2 linked regions of the Neurospora crassa OR74A genome follow. The protein of the gene in region 2 binds, or shares a complex with, the protein of the main gene of each other region. Links are inferred from orthologs where the notes say so. Each region holds a gene or a part of one and is shown on either strand. Other genes may lie near its edges.

Evidence for each region.
Region 1: NCU00979 (region 2) and NCU06843 share a complex: the UniProt entries of both Saccharomyces cerevisiae proteins name them as parts of the large ribosomal subunit. The link is inferred for Neurospora crassa OR74A from reciprocal best matches to the Saccharomyces cerevisiae genes RPP2B and RPL3.

The regions. Positions count from the first base shown.
Region 1 is NC_026502.1:1,783,637-1,788,059, forward strand, and holds NCU06843 (60S ribosomal protein L3), read right to left. Parts: upstream 2,930-4,423; 5' UTR 2,801-2,929; coding exon 2,788-2,800; intron 2,559-2,787; coding exon 2,480-2,558; intron 2,354-2,479; coding exon 2,197-2,353; intron 2,139-2,196; coding exon 2,115-2,138; intron 2,045-2,114; coding exon 1,395-2,044; intron 1,337-1,394; coding exon 1,081-1,336; 3' UTR 642-1,080; downstream 1-641. Other genes in the region: NCU06844 (hypothetical protein), read right to left, coding at 1-127, 244-246; RCM-1, read right to left, coding at 4,271-4,423. UniProt on the Saccharomyces cerevisiae protein: Component of the ribosome, a large ribonucleoprotein complex responsible for the synthesis of proteins in the cell.
Region 2 is NC_026501.1:6,512,212-6,515,435, reverse strand, and holds NCU00979 (60S acidic ribosomal protein P2), read right to left. Parts: upstream 1,893-3,224; 5' UTR 1,740-1,892; intron 1,678-1,739; 5' UTR 1,669-1,677; coding exon 1,510-1,668; intron 1,444-1,509; coding exon 1,317-1,443; intron 1,259-1,316; coding exon 1,212-1,258; 3' UTR 789-1,211; downstream 1-788. Other genes in the region: NCU00978 (checkpoint protein kinase), read right to left, coding at 1-162; NCU00980 (hypothetical protein), read left to right, coding at 2,593-2,598, 2,658-3,224. UniProt on the Saccharomyces cerevisiae protein: Component of the ribosome, a large ribonucleoprotein complex responsible for the synthesis of proteins in the cell.

The sequences.
Region 1 (4,423 bases), on a different chromosome or scaffold from region 2:
GCGTAGTACCTGCGGAAAGGGACGTAGTGATGCGCAAGAGCGGGAGAGTGAGAAATCGTTGCGCTGCTGGTCGTTGCAAATGGAGAAGCGTAGAAGTTGTTCGAGAGAGAGGCAATCCAGCGGGTGTCTGGTGTTCGAGAAAGAGCCGGGTAATTAGCTTTGCGGATTGTCGACAAAGAGTTTGTGTTGAGGATGGAAGAAGCAACTAGAACAGATCTGGGTCAGGGTTAGGGAAGTTCAAACCATTATGTTGTTGTGTTTAGGTTGAGAACGTTTCGTTGGGCGGGACGACGATGACAATGATCAGTCAGGTGGGTGGGCTGCGTGGTGGGATGCGAACGAACGTCCGATGATGTAACCTGCAGTAGCTGAAACCAATTAGGAATGGCGGATCTCACGTTGGCCTAAGAGTGGAAGCGTCAACCAATCAGGAGATGGGCTGCTTGCAAGGTCGATCGGGGTTTGATATGCCCTCAACAAGTAACAACAGCCATGTACGCCGTGAGGACTCCCAAAAGCACGACTAGGAATATGAGAAGATGGTCGAAAAGTGATATCATTATCAGTCGTGGTATCGCAGATGAACAATATCAGGAAGAGAAAGCATAGAGACGGGTAGTGAATGACAGGTGGAAGCTCATGAACAGTTGATAAATCGAACACGTCCAGCGCAGCAGAACAGGCAACGAGAATCACACGACATGCTACATTCAAGACTATCAAATTGGGTATATCTATATGCCACTGGTCCCTTCAAGTCATTACCCTACACTAGTGGGGGCATAGCAGCCCAAGACAAAAGTCCTGGAATAAAACATACGAAGTTATAAACAACAGTGTCCATCGAATCTGTGCCAACCACCAGATTCTTCACGTGTTCACATCACATAAAACACATTTTGCTGAAGGACACTCTCTTTGGCAGTACACTGGATCAACGTTTCATTGTTCTTCAACAGCTTTTTATTAAGCCGTAAATGCTAGGTATAGTCCCATTTCCCGACCGACCCGAAAGAGCAACGAAAAAACCGTGACACCAATGCAACCCGACTAACAAGGAGATCAACTGCAGCAGCCAATTTACGAGCTGGCAGCGAGGTCCTTCTTGAGGGTACCCTGGAACTGCTTCTTCTCGGCAGGGGTCTGGAAAGCACCATGACCGAACTCCGAGGAGGTGTCGATCCACTTGAGCTCGACCTTCTCGAGGGCCTTGCGGGAGGTGTGGACGAACATGGACTTGCGGAGAGTCATGACTCTCTTCTTGACACCGGGAACGGAGCCCTTGACCATGACGAAGTCGTTGTTGATCTCGCCATAGCGGACGAAGCCACCCATGCTGGAACAGGGTTAGTTTTGCGCTCTTCAACTTCTTCAAGACAGACGGGGATACATACGGGGTGATCTTCTTCTTGGTGACATCGACCTCGGTGGCAGCAGAGTCCTCAGCATCGCCCTTGCCAATGCGGTAGATCTTGTGGTTGACCGAGGTACGGTGGTGGTAACCGGCCTGACCAGCGCGAGCAACAGTCCACTGGACGTGGGAAGGATGCCAGGCACCGATACAGGCGACCTTGCGGAGACCCTTGTGGGTCTTGCGAGGAAGCTTCTTGGTGCCCCAACGAGCGGTGACACCGGTGAAACCGTGACCCTTGGTAACGGCAATGACGTCGATAACCTCGTCCTTCTCGAAGATGGAGTCGATCGAGACGGGCTTCTCGAAGAGGCCGTGGCCGAACTCGACCTTGTCGGCGACGGAGCCACCGTTGATCTGGATCTCCATAAGGTGGGCCTTCTTCTGCTTGAGGGGAGTCTTGCGGATCTGGGTGTGGGCAAGAACACGGACGACAGTGCAGTACTTCTTGATGCGCTCGAGCTCGCGGGTGATGGCGGCACCGTTGTTGTCGGAGTGCTTCTTGACGTACTTGGTGAAGGCCTTCTTCTTGGACTTGTACCAGTTCTTGTAGAAGCGGCGCTTGACCTCGTCGGACAAGTGCTCAGCCCAGACGGTGGTGAGGGAGCGGAGACCGCGGGGAGTCTCGATGTACTAATATCGGGGTTAGATCACACGGTCGCGGTAGGCCATATACGGCAGCTGGACAGGATCAAAGACTTACGCCGACCAGACCCACAACGATCATCTGCGAGAGATGTTAGCCATTGACACAAAAAGAGCCAAGCGGGCTGCGTTGTACGTACAGGAGGGGTATCAATGATGGTCACAGCCTCAACGACCTCCTTCTTGTGAGCCTTGGCGCCGGGGCGGTCGAGGTCGCGGACGATGGTGGTCATGCCGGCCTTGTAGCCCATGGCGGCGGTAAGGTGGACGGGCTTCTTGGCATCATCCTTAGGGAACCTGTCATGAACGCGCAACTGGTCAGCCTCTCTGTTCGCATGCCCTATTGCCCAAGTTCCGATCGCGAAAGATCCAAACTACTAGCGATAGTGTTGTCGATGGTACCAGAAGATAAGCTTGACTTACGACTTGACCTTTCCCCTGTGGCGGGCCGCGCGCTTGCGGGGAAGGTAGGCCAGCGAACCGTGGCGGGGAGCCTCGTACTCTGAAGCATCGAGTCAGCATGAAGGACGTTCAGGTTGCCATGAGGTCCAAGTCGTGATCACGCATGCTCCCCAAAATCCAGTCGCCAAAAAGTCGAAAATTTCGATATCGCGACGACCGTCTCTCGGGAAAGCTGCTCCATCGATTCTCTCGAAGTCGGGATTGCGTGTAGAAATCGACAAAGACCGTATGTCTGGCGGCGACAGCGACGGCGATGAGGCGTTACTTACTACGGTGAGACATGACTGCTGATGATCCCAAGTACCCGGGTTGTTGATGGTCGAGTGGGAAAAAGTTCACTACCGCGAAAACAAAATCAAGAAGTATCGCCAGAGAAATTGGACCAGCCAAATTTTTGTGTGAGTGGTGTGGATTGGACCGTGCACGGGCCTCAAGTGCAGCGGAGCCCTAACTTTTGCGCGAGCCCTTTCCGGCGGGCATGTCCGCCTTCCTGTTCCTCGAGCCCGCCCAGCCAACCAGCGATGACCAGCCAAGCCCAGAACAATCCACCCCACAAGAGCGACCCCGTACACTTAGTCAGCTTGGCGGGCCATTCACTAATGGCACATTGATGACAAGGTAAAGTCCTGTTGAGGTGGCAGAAAACGTGACTTTGATTGCTCTGCGTATAAGTCCGTCATCGTCGCCGCTGCCGCCGTAGGTACGTTCGCAGATGGAATACGAGATATGGGATTTTTTCGGCGCCTGCGCGTGGCAACGGCTCTGTTTGGTCTGGTCGGTTACAATATGTTGAGCTCCAATCTTCGTTGTTCCCCCCCTTGACTCCATCTTGATCACACGGCTGATTCTCCGAATTCGATGTCCGCGCCCACGGTGTCAAAGAGAGCAAGCTGTTGTGGCTTTCAATAGCCTAGGTTGGGCTGTTTGGATCAAAGCGAGATCTCCATCTATTGGGGTTGTCAGCTGCCTGTCAGAAGCATGACGACATTGTCAAATGCCCCATCTGCTTCTTGACTCAATACCTCTAGCTTGTCGAGCTCGTGGACAAGGGCATTATAACAGTCGTAGATGTAAAACAAGTGGGTTGGCTTAACATGATTACATGATTAGGCGGACATGCATGGTCAAAGGCGTACTGGTTACAAGGGATAACCACGAAAGCACTACACTTAGCTGTCATCTCCTTGACTTTTCGGGCTGAGGCGCCGTTCAGCCATTTCAATAACACCGTATCCCGTGCGGGAATGATCACGACGTTGCAATTACGATCCCAAGAGTGTAACGACAATCGTAATCATGTTCTCTAACTGGCCTCTATGGCAAAGCAGCGAGTTCATTTCCGCCTCTTGAGGATATTCCCATTCCCTTCTCGCTGTCGACTTTCCAACAGATGACATGCACACGCTTCTATTCCAAACACAAGTCATAATAATGTATGTACATCGGAATCCGCTCCTTCCTCTCCCTCCTCATCTCCTACCGGTCAGTCAAAACGTGGTAAAATAGTGCATTTCGCACCCATGAGATCTTGAGCTTCACAGGTCCTTCTGTCTCCATCATCCATGTGTGTGAAATGATGACCACTCTTTCAAACCACATAAAACGAACAAGTCGACGTACATTCCCATCCATAAGCAAAACCATTATGACATCGACAGGATCTTGGGTTCTCCTACCTCTGCCGTATTATAAGCAGATACACTGGGTCTTGTCTCTCGCGCAGAAGCTCGAGGTACACGGCAGATGATGTAATCAGTTGCTTTCTGACTTTTGTCCCATGATGCCGTTGAAGCTACCGCTCGTTGAGGCTCCGTTCTTGGACTCGTTTGCTGCAGGGCCGGATCCGGAGGAAGGACCGGGAATAATTCCGCCCTTCTTGTCCTCCTCTCCGCTATCGTCATAGTC
Region 2 (3,224 bases):
ATACTGTTGAGATTGCGACTGGGGATTCGACTCGCTGCGATTGAGCATGGGCCGCGATGGGGGACGTCGCAAAGCTTGTCTAGCGGATGTCCTTCTTCCCATAGACGTAAAGTGGCTTCCACCGCCCATGGGCGTTGGCGAAATGGACGACATGTCGTTCATGTGTTTTGTTTACCGCCCCTGTTGTTTTGGTTGCGGTTGCAAATGCGCTGGCTCGGCGTTGGGTGGACCTAACTTTTCGTCCTGTTTGCGAGCTTGGAACCTTGCCCGTCTTTCGCAGCCACGGACGATCCTGCTCTTGTTTTGCGCCTGGTTTGCCGCCTTTTCAGATGTAGTCCAAAATTGAAGAAAATAATACCTAATAAGCACAGGGCTGCGTGGGCGATTGCGAATCTACGTGCCAGAGTAGCGCATGGAACCAAGAATAACGAGAGTAGCGAGAAATCATATGGTGCGGCGCGGATGAAGCATGTCGTGAACGGAAGCTAGAGGAGACGATGGGGGGTTTCACTCTGTATTGGGGCCCTGGGTGCGTGCTGACTGTTGGCTTTCGCTAGGAGCGAGTATTTTGACTTGTGGAGCTGCGACCAATCAAAACACGGGGTGATGTTGCATGGTTGCTCGCGGCAACCGCTGAAATGGATCCTTTCTCTGGGAAACGCAAACTCCAGTGATGAGCTTGCCAAGCTTTGTTTACAGCAACAACAACAAAAACAACAGGGAAGCCCGACTTGAAGGAACCACATGCAACCGTGCGTATCGATAAATGAATGGAGACGACAATGGAGCTGCATGTCAAGTGAATATCAAGGGATTTGTTTACCAACGTTCTCGCAGGGCGCCGTCGATGGGACGCCATATCAGTGCGATAACAGGAACGGAAAAGAAGAAGAGCTCACAAACATGCATGTTCAAGCAACATATTCTCAGCAATTTTAGCTGCAGGCGCAGATGTCCAGAACAGCGCAGCACGCACATGTATGATCACGAAGGGACAAAAAGGTCCGAAGAAAACCTTGCGACTTGTATTGTTCCGCCTATGTGCCGTTTGACGCCCTTATGAAAGACGTGCCCTTGTAATCCCAAGAACTCCAGCTCTGCTGCCGCCGTCAAGGCGAATGTGATGCAGGTGACTTTTGAACCGCGTGTACAATCCGTCAAGGTTTCTCGGAAAATACCATGCCATGTTACCGGACAATGGTAGGAGACGCTTAGTCGAAGAGACCGAAGCCCATATCCTCGTCGGACTCCTCCTTCTCTGTACCCAGCAGTTAGCAGCTGAATGCGACAGCGCAAGCGATTGAATGTGTCCTTACCCTCAACCTTCTCCTCCTTCTTCTCCTCAGCAGCGCCACCAGCGGCGGCAGCGGCACCACCGGCAGCGGGGGCAGCAGCACCGCCGGAGGGGACGGAAGCGAGCTTGGAGGAACCCTCAGCGATCAACTGTAATATCTCGTGTTAGCCATGTGCGCCGGACACTCAAGTCTGCTCTCCGGACAATAGTCGTACCTCGTTGAGGTCCTTGCCCTCGAGCTCAGAAATGAGCTTGTCAAGGCGCTCGGAGTCGGCCTCAATGCCAACGGACTCAAGGACGGCCTTGACATCAGCGGCAGAGGGGGCGGTGTTGCCACCGAGGGTGAGGAGGAGGTAAGCGGCCAAGTGCTTCATTTTGTCTGTCTTGAAGGTCGCGTTGTTAGACGGAAATCCTACGGTTGTGGAAGGCTGGACCAAAAACTTACTGAGCTGGAGAACCAGAGATGTCAATCAGGTTTAACCGCTGAGTTGTGGCGGAGAAAGACTCTTCTTAGGTTCTTGGGGGTGGAAGTTCACTGTTTCGGAAAGAAGTTCGCGGACGGGACCCGATCACGGATTATTTTTACAATTTCGTTCCTGTGAAGCCCCGCAATTTTGCGCCCCACGAAAGCCCACAAGCCTCAAATCACCTGACCAATCCACTCGACTTAGGGCAGATCCCGTGCGTTCTTTCCCGCCAAGCTCCCTTCCGTCGTTGCCTGCCGGCCGCTTGCAATTACATAAAAAGCTGGCCAATTCATAACGCCTTGGGCGCTCTTGGCAATAAACACAACTTTTCGGTGACGTGCGGCTTGGCACGCTGCTGGTCTGGACCGTCTGGGCCTGTGACTTTGACCTCGGAGACCGCGATTCACCGCTCCGACCAGAAGTGACTGGGTGGGTCGTTCACTACGCTGACCATCCTGGCTCCCGTCTCTGTCTCTGCCCAGCAAAAGTTGCGAAACCAAGTCCCCGATCACGCAGGATTCTTTGTTCTTCTTTCGCCAACAACCCATCTCCAACCTAATTCCTATTCTTGGTTTCGGCACTATCGGGCGACTGGCGACCTCGCATACTCGCGCCCATTCTTTCGCCGTGTTTTTTGCCAAAGCATTCGCGCTTGTCCCACTGTGCATCTGCATCGTCAGTTGAGGCGATCTGTGACGGAAGCATATAAAACCCTGCCACCTACTTCCTTCTCCTCTTGTTCGATGCCTGGACAACTCTCCGTCTTTTGAACGCAGGAGAAGGATAAGCAAAGCTGGTAAAAGAAGGTTATTCACCGATACAACCACAGCCATGCCGGTAAGTTGCCATTCGTTTAGTGCGCTTGCCCTTTAAAAGGCTGGCTGACACGTGTGCAGATTTCGGATTTGCTCGCATCGATAACGGGCGAAAAGCCATCGTCATCATCGATCTCGACGAAAGATGTCCCAACAGCATCTAAACGGAAGGCCGACGATGACCTTCGAGGTTCTGCGCCAAAGGCCCCGCGTACCGAACCAGCGACAAATGGAAGTGCCCGGCCGAATGGAAACGTATCGAAACCTTCTACAGCGCGCCCCGCCGACCGACCGACGGAGCGCCCCACAGGAAATGCGAACCCAACGCGTCCCGCAGAAAAAACAACTGGCTACACCGGCACCGCGCAACCACGTTCGACCACGAAACTAACAGCTCCGGTGTCAACCAAGACCACATCGACGCAGTCAAAGGTGGGAGGAACAAGCTCGAATGGGAATAAGGCTCCACTTTCGCGACCGCTCGTCAGCCGACCCGCCCCTAGCGCTCCTGTCGCCGGCTCTGGACCTCCGAAGAAACGCTCCTATGCAGAGATCATGGCAAGGGCCCAGGCCAATCAGCCCATGCTGTCATCCGTTGGAAAGATTCAGCACAAGAAGGTGGAGAAGCAGTTGACGCTGAAGGAACGC